2 linked regions of the Stegostoma tigrinum genome follow. The protein of the gene in region 1 purifies or fractionates together with the protein of each later gene. This does not show direct contact. Links are inferred from orthologs where the notes say so. Each region holds a gene or a part of one and is shown in the gene's direction. Other genes may lie near its edges.

What was found.
Region 2: the proteins of regulating synaptic membrane exocytosis protein 1-like (region 1) and ERC protein 2 purify together in Homo sapiens (affinity purification with western blotting; 3 studies listed by BioGRID and IntAct, with this or other methods). This does not show direct contact. The link is inferred for Stegostoma tigrinum from reciprocal best matches to the Homo sapiens genes RIMS1 and ERC2.

The regions. Positions count from the first base shown.
Region 1 is NC_081357.1:82,286,999-82,294,681, reverse strand, and holds the start of regulating synaptic membrane exocytosis protein 1-like, read left to right. Parts: upstream 1-4,675; 5' UTR 4,676-4,925; coding exon 4,926-5,080; intron 5,081-7,683. UniProt on the Homo sapiens protein: Rab effector involved in exocytosis. May act as scaffold protein that regulates neurotransmitter release at the active zone.
Region 2 is NC_081364.1:32,337,942-32,345,116, reverse strand, and holds the start of ERC protein 2, read left to right. Parts: upstream 1-4,155; 5' UTR 4,156-4,235; intron 4,236-4,345; exon of another isoform or gene 4,346-4,452; intron 4,453-7,175. UniProt on the Homo sapiens protein: Thought to be involved in the organization of the cytomatrix at the nerve terminals active zone (CAZ) which regulates neurotransmitter release. Seems to act together with BSN. May recruit liprin-alpha proteins to the CAZ.

The DNA.
Region 1 (7,683 bases):
TTTGTATTGTCTGCGAACTTACTAATCTACCCTTCCACTCCTACATCCAAATCATTTACAAAAATCACAAATAGAAGAGGACCCAGACCTTGTGGTACACCACACGTAACTGAGCACCAAGTTGAATATTTTCAGTCCACTACCACCTTTTGTCTTCTAAGGGTCAGCCAATCCTGAATCCAATCTGCCACATTTCCCTTATCCCATGCCTCCTTACTTACTGCATGAGCTTACCTTGGGGAACCTTATCAAACACCTTACTTAAATCCATGTACATCACATCCACTGCTCTACCTTTATCCATGTGTTTGGTCACCTCTTCAAAGAATTCAATAAGGTTTGTGAGGCACGATCTACCCCCCTCAAATGCATGTTGACCATCACGAATCAAACTATGCCTATCCAAGTGATCATAAATCCTATCTCTCAGAGCCCTTTCCAATAATTTGCCCACCACTGAAGTAAGACTAACTGGCCTGTAATTTCTGGGGTTAACCCTATTCCCTTTTTTGAAGAAGGAAATGATGTTTTCCACTCTCCAATTTTCCGGAGCCATACCCGTGGACAGTGAGGATGAAAAGATCATAACCAAAGGCCGTGCGATCTCTTCCTTCGCTTTCCATAGAATCCTTGGATAAACCCTATTAGGCATGGGGGACTTATCTATCTTCAAGTTCCTCAAAATTCCTAGTACACCTTCCTTACTAACATCCACCTCCTCTAGCCTACCAGCCTGTTTAACACTGTCCTTTCCTACAACTTGATACCTCTCAGTTGTGAATGCCAAAGAAAAGTATTCATTAAGATCTCTCCTATCTCTTTAGCCTCTGTGCACAAATTCCCTTTACAATCGTTGATCAACCCTACACTTTCTTTGGTCATTCTCTTATTCCTCATGTATATGTAAAAAGCCTTGGGGTTTTCCTTGATCCTATAGAACATAGAACATAGAACAGTACAGCACAGAACAGGCCCTTCAGCCCACAATGTTGTGCCGACCATTGATCCTCATGGATGCACCCTCAAATTTCTATGACCATATACATGTCCAGCAGTCTCTTAAATGACCCCAATGACCTTGCTTCCACAACTGCTGCTGGCAACGCATTCCATGCTCTCACAACTCTCTGCATAAAGAACCTGCCTCTGACATCCCCTCTATACTTTCCACCAACCAGCTTAAAACTATGACCCCTCGTGCTAGCCATTTCTGCCCTGGGAAATAGTCTCTGGCTATCAACTCTATCTATGCCTCTCATTATCTTGTATACCTCAATTAGGTCCCCTCTCCTCCTCCTTTTCTCCAATGAAAAGAGACCGAGCTCAGTCAACCTCTCTTCATAAGATAAGCCCTCCAGTCCAGGCAGCATCCTGGTAAACCTCCTCTGAACCCTCTCCAAAGCATCCACATCTTTCCTATAATAGGGCGCCCAGAACTGGACGCAGTATTCCAAGTGCGGTCTAACCAAAGTTTTATAGAGCTGCAACAAGATCTCACGACTCTTAAACTCAATCCCCCTGTTAATGAAAGCCAAAACACCATATGCTTTCTTAACAACCCTGTCCACTTGGGTGGCCATTTTAAGGGATCTATGTATCTGCACACCAAGATCCCTCTGTTCCTCCACGCTGCCAAGAATCCTATCCTTAATCCTGTACTCAGCTTTCAAATTCGACCTTCCAAAATGCATCACCTCGCATTTATCCAGGTTGAACTCCATCTGCCACCTCTCAGCCCATCTCTGCATCCTGTCAATGTCCCGCTGCAGCCTACAACAGCCCTCTACACTGTCAACGACACCTCCGACCTTTGTGTCGTCTGCAAACGTGCTGACCCATCCTTCAATCCCCTCATCCAAGTCATTAATAAAAATTACAAACAGTAGAGGCCCAAGGACAGAGCCCTGTGGAACTCCACTCACCACTGACTTCCAGGCAGAATATTTTCCTTCTACTACCACTCGCTGTCTTCTGTTGGCCAGCCAATTCTGTATCCAAGCAGCTAAGTTCCCCTGTATCCCATTCCTCCTGACCTTCTGAATGAGCCTACCATGGGGAACCTTATCAAATGCCTTACTGAAGTCCATATACACCACATCCACAGCTCGACCCTCATCAACTTTTCTAGTCACATCCTCAAAAAACTCGATAAGGTTTGTAAGGCATGACCTACCCCTCACAAAGCCGTGTTGACTGTATTTGATCAAGCCATGCTCTTCCAGATGGTCATAAATCTTATCCTTCAGAATCCTTTCTAACACCTTGCAGACGACAGACGTGAGACTTACCGGTCTACAATTGCCGGGGATTTCCCTATTTCCTTTCTTGAAGAGAGGAATTACATTTGCCTCTCTCCAGTCCTCAGGTACGACTCCAGTGGAGATGTGCCAAGGTTTTTTCATGCACCCTTAATAGATCTTGTAAGCCTTTTCTTCAGCTCCTTCCTGGCCAACTTGTATCCCTCTAGAGCCGTTTCCAATCCTTGTTTGCTAAGCCTGAGACCTTCTTCCTCTCAACCAGTCGTTCGACCTCTCTTGAGAACCAAGGCTCTCTCACTTGACCACATCTTCCCTGCTTGCTAGGGGCAAACATGTCATGCACACGCAGTATGCAATCCTTAAACAATCTCCACATTTGTATAGTGCTCTTCCCTGACAGCATCTGTTCCTTTTTTATGTTACCCAGTTCTTGCCTGTCAGAATTATAATTACCCTTTCCCCAATTATAAGCCTTACCCTGCTGTATGTACTTATTCTTTTCCATGGCTATTGTAAAAGTAACAGAGATATGATCGCTGCCGCCAAAATGCTCTTCTAACAACAGGTTTAACACTCAGTCCGGTTTATTGCCAAGCACCAAATCTGAAGTGGCCTCTCCTCATGTTGGTCTATCTACATACTGTGTCAGGAATCCTCCATATACGCACTGGACAAAATCTGCTCCATCTAAACTATTACAACCTAAAAGTTTGCAAGCAGTATTTCGAAAGTTGAAATCACCCATGACTACAATCCTGTGACTTCTGCACCTTTCTAGTATCTGCCTCCCAATCCACTCCTCCCCTTCTCTGCAACTATTAGTGTGATGAATAAAGGTGATGTATTCAAATACTTTTCAAGAGTAAGTTGATGCAACGCCAATTCAGTGATTCTACACAATAAGGAAAATAGCATTTGAACAATTTAATTTCAGAAGGGAAAATAATAAGTCATTCTTTTCACCAGGCATTTTATTGGAGAAATCCTACCACCTCCAAAGTAACAGCACTGCACTGGTCATTTTGGACTCCATTATTTCGTTTTCAAGTCTTTTTGAGATTGAGTACTTGTAGGAGAGATTTATTTCAATCACAGCAAACCTAAGAGATGAGAACTAACAGAAGCATGATTGTATTAAAAACAGTCATAACTCCTAAGTCAGGAAGCCATAATCAACTCACAAATAGAATACCATTCAATTTTTATATATAATATATAAACATTCCACATTTAATTTTTATGAATTGCAAGTTTCAGTTAGTTACAAAACATCACTGTATGTTGACTCTATATAACTGAACAAAAGATATTTGAAATCACCATGCAATACCACTGAATGGGAAGTGGGAAATTCATGTAAGTTTGTAAGGACCCTATTTACTGCTCTTCGGGCTACAAGGCTGAAACGACCAAATTCATATCTTGATTGTACATAATCCCCTGAAAAATTATTGTATCTAATTTATATCATATCAAGGCTCTTGAAGTGCCGACTTTCGTTCCAGATTTTAATGTATGTATGTAGGGCTAAGCTGGATATTCAAATTTGCTTTGAATTTTAAATAACAAACAATATTTCCACTGGGGAAATATTAAAGGAACATGTTGATCAAAATTGTAGTGCACAAAACATTGATACGAGCAATCAACTATTAATCTATCTATCAATTAGAGTGCAAATTGAAATTGCCTACATGGTATAACAATGTAAAAGGTGTATTGAGGGGACATAATGTATTCGATCTACACTTATGAGTACTATATATACACCATTGAACTGCAGGCATTGAAGGGCTGTAGAAACAAGACGAAGGAAGGGGGGGTGGAAGGAAACGTTACGGAGCGGGACCTCGCACATTTAGGGTAATGATATACAAACCGGAGGCTGGAAGAACACAGCAAGCCAAGGCAGCGGCTCGAGGAAAGGAGCAGGCAACGTTTTGGGTATTATCCTTCTTGATAAATCTAGCGATTTAAAAGCATTTGGTATGAGAAAATGCAAACATAGTGTGTCAGTTGTGTTGAAAAGCTCGCAAATTTCAATGGATTAACAACTTAAAAGTAGAAATTAAAATTCAAGACAAATATTTAACAAATAAAAAGCAAGCTGGTGTGGAGGAGCTCGGGGTTAAGTTGTGGTTTAAGTTGAAAGTGGGATGGGAGGGAACGTTTGATGTCTCCAGTAACTTTAGCACAGTCTCTACTTTATTGAGAATGTCCACCGCCACACAAGACCCTTGTTGCCGAGTTGCAATTTTCCCAATGTGATGGGAGTGGATGCGCTGTGTTTTCCTACTCCGCTTCAATACCCTCTGTTCTGGGTCCCCTCTGTAGCATCTCTGATCTCGGGCATAAACTGAGAAATTCCACCCCCTTCCTTCCATACGCTTTCTTGCGTCAGTGGCGGGGCGGAGCAGCTGAAGCTGGGCTGAACAGCAGTTAGAGCGGATGGTGGAGAAATAAAGCTTGTGGAGGTGGTGCTGTGACCGAGGGCGCGGCTGTTCTGCAGACGATGCTGAGCGCTCAGCGACGAGCGGTGAGTTAAGCGGCGCTGTCTCGGCGTACAGCCGCTGCTCACTGACCACAAGCAGCCAGGATCTGGCTGTACGTGTCCCTCTTCTTGCCCATGTCCCCAGGGGACGGCGCTGGACTGGCACTCCGGTGAAAATGTCAGCATCGCTCGGCCCCCGCAGTCCTCGGCCGCCGGGCGTGCCGGCCGAGTTGCCGGACCTGAGCCATTTGACGGAGGAGGAGAGGAGCATCATTATGGCCGTGCTGCAGAGGCAGCGGGAGGAGGAGCAGAAGGAAGAAGCAATGTTAAAGTAAGAATTTTTACACATTTATCGCTTCCCCTCCCTCAGTGAGAACGCAGAAGATGCTTTAATGGGGCTGACTTGCGCTCCCATATCTGCTACTTGTTTTGTTTTACACTTCATTTTAAAGCCGACCTTTGCTAATTCGAACCGAATTTGATGGATCGAAAGGCCAGGGCTTATAGTCTGTTTTGTTCTGATTACTTGTCAATCAGATACCCTACCCCAGGTGCATGTGTGTGCATTGGTTTTCAAATGTTTTCACCGTTCTGTAGTTCTATGAAAAAAAATGGACGATGAAGGATATCACGTTGGGAGTTCTTTAATCCAGCGATCTAGCTCAGGCCTTCTTCGGCAGGAAGTCGTCTCTACCTGATAATTCTTGTGTTTTTTTATAAATCAGGTAGCGTATGACCGATCCTAATTAAAATCTTGGAGCTACCAATGCTAGACATACGAAGCTTGTTATTCATCTTCAATTTCATTCCTCTCTGGCGGTTCCCCTTCTGCGCGCGCGCACGCTGCTTCCCACAATATTGTATTGGATGCAAGTACTTAATTCTCTTGAATAGTCACTTAGCTAGGGGTGGCCTGAGGTTGTGTCGAAGTTATGATGAAACCCAGCAGGCCAAAGACATGATTAGGTAGTTTACTTCTGTTAAAACTGTGCTTGGAGTCAGCTCCAGGTTTTTAATATCAGCATTTCAAATAAGTGACTTAGATATGCCAGCAGAGAGAAGTAGCACCGTGAAGTTTCGCTATCTGCCACACATAATGAGCATAAATTTGAGACAACAAAGTGTGAAGCTGGATGAACACAGCAGGCCAAGCAGCATCTCAGCAGCACAAAAGCTGACGTTTCGGGCCTAGATCCTTCATCAGAGAGGAGGATGAGGAGAAGGTTCGGAAATAAATAGGGGGAGGCAGACCGAAGATGGATAGAGGAGAAGATAGGTAGAGAGGAGAGTATAGGTGGGGAGGGGATAAGTCAGTCCGGGGAGGATGGACAGGTCAAAGAGGTGGGATGAGGTTAATAGGTAGGAAATGGAGGTGCGGCTTGAGTTGGGAGGAGGGGATAGGTGAGAGGAAGAACAGGTTAGGGACGTGGGAACGAGCTGGGCTGGTTTTGGGATGCAGTGGGGGAAGGGGAGATTTTGATGCTTGTGAAGTCCACAGTGATACCATTGGGCTGCAGGGTTCCAAGCGGAATATGAGTTGCTGTTCCTGCAACCTTCAGGTGGCAACATTATGGCACTTTAGGAGGCCCATGATGGACATGTCATCTAGGGAATGGGAGGGGGAGTTACAATGGTTTGCGACTGGGAGGTGCAATTGATTATTGTGAACTGTGTGGAGGTGTTCTGCAAAGCGGTCCCCAAGCCTCCACTTGGTTTCCCTGATGTAGAGGAAGCCACATTGGGTACAGTGGATGCAGTATACCACATCGGCAGATGTGCAGGTGAACATCTGCTTGATATGGAAAGTCATCTTGGGGCCTGGGATGGGGGTGAAGTAGGAGGTGTGGGGGCAAGTGTAGGACTTTGTGCGGTTGCAGGGGAAGGTGCTGGGTGTGGTGGGGTTGGAGGGGAGTGTGGAGCGGACAAGGGAGTCCCGGAGAGAGTGGTCTCTTCGGAAGGCGGACAAGGGTGGGGATGGAAAAATGTCTTGGGTGGTGGGGTGGGATTGTAGATGGCAGAAGATTTGGAAGATGATGCGTTGTATCTGGAGGTTGGTAGGGTGGTATGTGATGACTAGGGGGATTTTCTTTGGGCGGTTATTGCGGGGGTGGGTTGTGAGGGATGTGTTGCGGCAAATGCGGGAGATACGGTTGAGGGCGTCCTCGACCACTGCGGGTGGGAAGTTGCGGTCCTTGAAGAATGTGGATATCTGGGATGTTCGGGAGTGGAATGTCTCATCCTGGGAGCAGGTGCGGCGGAGGCGAAGGAATTGAGAATAGGGGATGAATTTATGCAGGAGGGTGGGTGGGAGGAGGTGTGTTCTAGGTAGCTGTGGGAGTCGGTGGGCATGAAATGGACATCGGTTTTGAGCTGGTTGTCTGAGATGTAGATAGAGAGGTCCAGGAAGGTGAGGGATGTGTTGGAGATGGCCCAAGTGAACTTGAGGTTGAGGTGGAAGGTGTTGAAGTGGATGAACTGTTCGAGCTCCTCTTGGGAGCAAGAGGTGATGCCAATACAGTCATCAATGTAACGGAGAAAGAGGTGGGGTTTGGGGCCAGTGTAGGCAGTGCCATAATGATGCCACCCGAAGGTTGCAGGAACAGCAACTCCTATTCCGCTTGGGAACCCTGCAGCCCAATGGTATGAATGTGGACTTCACAAACTTCAAAATCTACCCCCCCCCTCCCCCCACGGCATCCCAAAACCAGCCCAGCTCATCCCCGCCTCCCTAACCTGTTCTTCCTCTCACCCATCCCCTCCTCCCACCTCAAGTCGCACCTCCATTTCCAACCTACTAACTTCCTTGACCTGTCCGTCCTCCCCGGACTGACCTATCCCCTCCCCACCTATACTCTCCTCTCTACCTATCTTCTCCTCTATCCATCTTCGATCTGCCTCCCCCTCTCTCCCTATTTATTTCCGAACCTTCTCCTC
Region 2 (7,175 bases), on another chromosome or scaffold:
AGGGCAGATAGAAGATGGATAGAGGCGAAGATAGGTGGAGAGGAGACAGACAGGTCAAAGAGGTGGGGATAGAGCCAGTAAAAATGAGTGTAGGTGGGGAGTTAGGGAGGAGATAGTTCAGTCGAGGGAAGACAGACAGGTCAAGGGGGCGGGATGAGGCTGATAGGTAGGAGATGGGCATGGGACTCAAGGTGGGAGGAGGGATAGGTGGGAGAAAGGACAGGTTAGGGAGGCGGAGACGAGCTGGGCTGATCTTGGGATGCGGTAGGGGGAGGGGAAATCTTGAAGCTTGTGGTCCACATTGATACCATTGGGCTATAGGGTTCCCAAGCGGAGTATGAGTTGCTGTTCCTGCAACCTTCGGGTGGCATCGTTGTGGCACTGCAGGAGCCCCAGGATGGACATGTTGTCTGAGGAATGGGAGGGGGAGTTGAAATGGTTTGCGACTGAGAGATGCAGTTGTTTAGTATGAACTGAGCGTACGTGTTCAGCAAAGCGGTCCCAAAGCTTCTGCTTGGTTTCCCCGATGTAGAGGAGGCCACAATGGGAACAGTGGATGCAGTCTACCACATCAGCAGATGTTCAGGGAAAAGTGCCTGGTGTGGCGGGGCTGGAGGGGAGTGTGGAGCAGACAAGGGAGTCACGGAGAGAGTGGTCTCTTCGGAAAGCATACAAGGGTAGGGAGGGAAAAATCTCTTTGGCAGGGTTGGATTGCAGATGGCACAAATGTCAGTGGATGATGCGTTGATTCCGGAGGTTGGTGAGGTGGTATGTGAGGATGACAGGGATTCTGTTTTGGTTGTTATTGAGGGGAGGGGATGTGAAGGATGAGTTGCGGGCAATGCAGGAGACACGGTCGAGGGTGTTCTCGACCACTGAAGGGGCAAGTTGCTGTCCTTGAAAAACGAGGATATCTGAGATGTACAGGAGTGGAATGCCTCATCTTGGGAGCAGATGTGGCAAAGGGAAGGAGTTGGAAATAGGAGATGGCATTTTTGCAGGAAGGTGGTTGGGAGGAGGTGTATTCTGGGTAGCTGTGGGAGTCAGTGGGCTTGAAATGGATATCGTTTTCTAGGTGGTTGCCAGAGATGGAAACAGAGAGGTCCAGGAAGGAGAGAGAGGTATTAGAAATGGTCCAGGTGAACTTAAGATTGCAGTGGAAGGTGTTGGTGAAGTGAATGAACTGTTCAAGCTTCTCGTGGGAGCACGGGGTGGTGCCAATCATCAGTCATCAATGTAACGGAGGAAGAGGTGTGGAATAGGGCCAGTGTACCTTCGGAAGAGGGATTGTTCCACGTATCCTAAGAGGCAGGCATAGCTTGTGCCCATGCGGGTACCCATGGCCACCCCCTTTGTCTGTAGGAAGTGGGATGAATTGAAAGAGAATTTGTTGAGGGTGAGGACGAGTTTGGCTAATGATGATGTCAGCCTTCCTGCTCCTCTGATACTGCTTGGCCTGCTGTGTTCATCCAGCTCTACATCTTGTTATCTCAGATTCTCCAGCATCTGCAGTTCCTACCATCTCAGGAGCAAAACATACCCAGTTTCTCAGAATATCCAGCAAGTCTGTCAGAACTGTGGGTTCTCCCCCTCTGCTAACGTCAAAGGAACCGCTGATGATGAGATGGACATGGCCGAGGTCACAGCCTTGAAGCCATTACTGCCTGAAGATGAATTTCAGATGAAATGCTCCAGGCACAAGAAGGGGGCTACGGTCCAGTACATGTTGCTCATGTCAGATTCAGAGGAACTGGACCTGGTGCAAAAACACTCCAGAAGAAACTGCTGGAAGAAAAGGGTGCCTATGTCCTAGGCCTTAGATGGACAGGGATGTTGTGACTGGAGCAAGGTCAGCCAGGTGGACCTCACAGAATATGAGTTCCCCGATTGGGGCTGTTAACCTGGTCCAATAGGAAATTCTAGCCGATAAATATAAACAAGTGCATCAAGGGTTCTGTTCACGCTGGCAGCCAGTTCTATGCTTGTTGGGTAAGTGTCATGTACAATGCACATGTAAGTAAAGGGTGACTTGGCGATGGGATACTGGCCTTTGTGGAGTTATTTGAAGGACCATTTCTATTAATTTAGGGCATCCTAATCCCTCTCTATAAAATTTAGTTACTTACTTTTGTCAGTATCATAGCAGTCATTTTTCACATCACCACATGTCAGAAGGAACAGGGAGATGAATGACTACTTGGAAAAAAAATTATGCTGTTTGAAAAATGTTGGCCAGCATCACTGGGACTCATTTTATAAGGGAAAAAAAACACTTCGCGAACTTTACCATCCACCTAAAGAGAAGACAGTTCCTCAATAAAATGTCTGCCACAGGATGGTAGATCCAACAGCTTCAGTCTGGATAATGCACTAAGGTCCTGGAGTATGCTCTAAACCCACAATCTATTTGCAAACATATTAGATTAGAATTCCTACAGCATGGGGGCAGGCCTTTCAGCCCAACAAGTCCACACTGCCCCTTGAAGCATCCCACCCAGACCCATCCCCCTATAACCCACACAATGGACAATTTTGTGTGGCCAATCCACATAGCCTGCACATCTTTGGACTGTGGGAGGAAACCGGAGCAGCTGGAGGAAACCCACGCAGACATGGGGAGAATGTGCAAACTCCACACAGACAGTTGCCCAAGGCTAGAATCGAATCTGGGTCCCTGGCACTGGGAGGCTGCAGTGCTAACCACTGAGCCACTGTGCCACCTGTTGGTATTTCTGTCCGATATATCTGTCAGTATTTCTCCATTTCTGAAGAAGGGTCGAACCATCAGCCTTCCTGCTCTTCTGATGCTGCTTGGCCTGCTGTGGTCATCCAGCTCTACACCTTGTTATCTCAGATTTTCCAACATCTGCAGTTCCTACTATCTCTGTCAATATTTCACAGTAGCTTTTACATTTTTATGCCCGGTGTTTGTATCAGACATCCATGTGATCGAAAAGCAAATCAGTGCTACTCAACCTGTTTTGCTTTTGGCATTCTGCCATACATACATTAGAACAGTAGCCGCTCCATTCTCACTCATCTACTATGGCAATAGTAGGAGTGGTTGTGATCTGTCCCAGGACAGGACGCTTGCTAATTTTGTCACACCTCTCTCTTTCCTCTTTGGCCTCTTGTAAGAGTCTTCCCCTTTCAATTTAATCCCCCTTCAATTTGAATGATCATTATGACAAGAGGAGGAGTGTTTCATGAATCCAGGTATGCGTTTCAGGAAACGTGACCTCATCCTGATCTTCTACCTGTGAGTAGCCATTCTCCCTCGAGTCTTTGGACCTTGAACCAAAATATATACTGACCGCATTGTTGCCTGTAGGTCCTACCACTGAGCGTGAGACCTTTACCTGGGCCGAGGGTGACTCTCAAAAAGGCAGGAAGATAACCTGCTGAAGTTTCTAATAACCTGGGCAATTTAGCAAATAACATGATGGTGGGTGCTGAAAGGAGGGAAAGCAAAGAAAACTTCTGTCGTGACAGCATTCAAATACATCTTCCCATTCATTAGGGTAATGTGCTTTTCCAGGAGTAAAGAGAGGTGGTAAAATAGGTGATTAAAATTAAGCAGCAAAGTTTTTTTTCAAAAACCGAAAGAACTGCGGATGCAGTAAATCTGAGACAAGGATAGAAATTGCTGGAAAAGCTCGGTTGGTTTGGCAGTATCTGCGGAGAGAAATCAGAGTTAACATTTCGGGTCGAGTGACCCATCCTGAAAACCCAGATGCTGCAAACTTATCGAGCTATTCCAGCAACTTCTATTTTTTTTCATTTGTTTTTGGATAGTAGAAGTAAAGTGTAGGGCGGAATGTATTACGGTAGCGTTGCCATTTCATAATTCCAGCCCACGCCCTCTAACTGTGACAAAACTTCAACCAAGGAGAATAAAAGGCGACTGTAGCCAGTGGAGATAACATGCGATTGTGAAACGAATAGGTAGTAATGATTTGTCAATTATTACTGTTAATCAGCTCTGAATCAGAAGTGTAGCCGTCACAAAAACTACGAGTACAACTAGTAACATACAACGTAAATGGTTGTAGTAAAAATAAACGGAGGAAAAAAAGCTTAAGGTCGGAATCCAGAAGTGTGACTGTGTCTTTAAATTTCCTGGCTGAATGGTGTGGTTCCAGCCAATTGTAGAGAAGGTGTAGAATGCTGGGAATGTTAAGTCAAGCCTGGCTGGGATAAGCTGAATGGTGAAGGAGTGAGGAGGGATTCCCGAGGTAAAAAAAAAACCCGGTTTTTATTTTGTGCTCGGTTTCCACACCCCCCCCCCCCCCCCCCCCGGCAAAGTGTCAAGGGGATCACCGCATTCGGGTTCAATGCGGCTATTGCCGGGTCTGTCTTAAGCAGCAGAATCCTGATGTGGCACATAGCTGAAGGGGGTTTAATATTTTGTGTTTGGTGTGTAATGTGAGGAGACAGATGCATTGATTGGAGGTGAGCGACTGGCTTTCATTATTGCAGCTACAAGGGGAAGGCGAGACGTCTTTTGTAAATAAAGGCAGCGGAAACGTGACATTTTCTGTGCTTTAAATATAAATTCACCAGCGTTTCAGTCCGTATTTTTTTTCAGCAGAAGGCCTCGAAATGCCATTTATATTAGACATACTGTGAATGCAATACTGAGCCAAAATGAGTACAGCAAACGCCCATTGTCAGAATAAATGGTTAGACAGAACGGTGTCTTTAATGTTTCTGGGATCGCCGTTATTAAATTTTTTTTTGCTGCTTGTTTGCTTTTGAGACAAAAAAACATCGCATTTGCTTAAAAGTAACTAAGGTTTAATGAAGGTATTGATTTCTAGGCGGTTTCCTGGGCACAGCCCTCTCCATCTACAGTCTGTAGAATCTGCTGCCTTTGCTTAACCTAGTAAAGTGGATGGTGGGGGATATTCAGATTGACATCTCATAGTGAATTCAGCAAGTTAAAATTTAGAAATCTCGAATTGTTTTGGCCAGTCAACGAGATCGGGGTTGGACCGTGTTAAGTTTGGCTGTAATTTCGGTTTCAGGCGAGCCGTCTGTTTTTTGGGGAGATTTGAAAAAAAGGGACATTGCAGACAATATTGGTCTTTAACCCATTGAAGATTTTTCCTGTAGCAACGTTTTATGAACTGTTATTTTCCATACAATCGATACTTGAATTATTTCAAACATGCCTTTGGGCATATGACATGTCAAATCAAATGAGTTTCCTTTTGTATAAGGTAGTCGCTGTTTTGCTTTGAAATATTTCAGGTCTATTTTTGAGTGTTTCACTGGCGTGTGAAAATCTTGTGATGCTAGAACTATGGTTGGTAGTCTCTAAGAGGCATTGCATCAAATCACTCATTGGTTGCATACAAATAATTTGAATTGTAATTCTCTGAAAATGTCTCCTTTTAAAAAAAAATGCTTTCAAACAGCCTAAGGACTGGTAGAAATGGTTTCAGTTTCAATTGTGAAACCTGTTGGCATTAGTAGTCCACAGCATTATTGTGTGCTACACAATGCTGCAAGTGTGGTACCTTAGAAATGTTGATACCAAAACCACTTGAAAGTAAGGTTATTTGCGTTGTCATGATTGCGTGCAGTTTTTTCATGTGCTGGGATCTGGATTTGAATCCATTTGTGGTAGGTAAAATAGAAATCTCTCTTTATATTTTCAGGCTTTTATTGCTTTTCATTTGATCAATTCTATTGTTGTCTGTACTCACGTGTTCACAACCTACAACCTACAACCTGTGCTAATTGTACTCAGTGGAAACCTTAGGATGCTAGAGGTGGAACAGTGGGACTAGGTCCCATGCTAAATAACTTGTATCTAAGTGATTGTAACCTGATATTGAAATAGTTAATTTTGGATAGGCGAGCAAAAGGGGGAAAACAAATCAATATCCCATCATTTTCTTTTAAGCCGAAAAATCACAAAATGAAAAAGAATGCATAATCTAACACAACTCTACATCTATCTGTAACCAAGGCAACATGGCATGCAGTGCTGTCACAGCCTGACATATTGTTCTTGAAAATTGCATTGGTGAGTTGACACCTTTTGCCATGGAATTTGAAGTCCTTTTTAAAGGACAAAATACTACAATGTATAAAAAAGTTACTTTTTATTTTTTAAAAAAGCAAAGAAATATATAAAATTAATGATAGAACCTCTTGTCAGTAAACTTTGCAACTCTAACCAATATTACTGATTATCAACACAATCAGATGTTGCCAGGATTGCAGGGTTTCCCTTTTTGGGAAAGGCTTAAGAGGCTCAGTTTTTTCCCCCAGATTGTTGGAGGCTGACGGTGACCTTAGCGGTTTATAAAATTGAGGGGTATGGATAGAGTGAGTAGCCAAGGTCTTTTCCACAGGGTAGGGGGAATTGAAAATTAGAAAGCATAGGTTTGAGGTGAGAAGGGAAAGATTTTAAAAAGGAACTGAGTGGGACTTTTTTATGCAGAGGGTGAGGGAATGAGCTGCCAGAGGTGGCGGTCGAGGTGGGTACAGTTACAACTTTTACAGGACATTTGGTTAAGTACATGAGTAAGAAATGTGTGGAGGGAAATGGGTAAGTGCAGGCAGGTGGGACATGTTTGTTTTGGGATTATGGTTGGAGTGGACTTTGGACCAAAGGGTCTGTTTCCATGCTGTATGACTCTGATGTATGAAAATGTTTTATGACAAATTCACTGACGTTACAGAAATATTTTGAGGTGAATACAGGTAATGTCTACTGTAATCACATTGTACTGTGGAAATTTGCGCATGTAACTTTTATTTGCACAGTGATCTGAATTGGGATGTATTGTTCATGAGAAATCTTGAAATGAAGCTGCAAGTATTTTTCACAGTGAAAGAGGACAAACCCTTTAGGCTGAATTGCCTAAAATGGCATGATGGAGGCCAAGGAGCATGTTATCAACTCCTATAGAAATAACAAATGGTAGAGGAATATTTACGGTGATTTAGGAAGAAATAAGTGACCAAAGTGGGAGACTTTAGAGCAAACTAAGTGTGTGTTGCCTTACATTTTTAATGCTACATATAGTAAGTCAAGTATTTTTGTTCACTGTATGTTTTTACCTGCTTCTCATGGATGAATGGCTGATATCCATTTATTTTGGATGTGTTTTTAAAACTTGTATCCCAGATTGTTGGTTAAGTAAAAGCAAAAAATGATT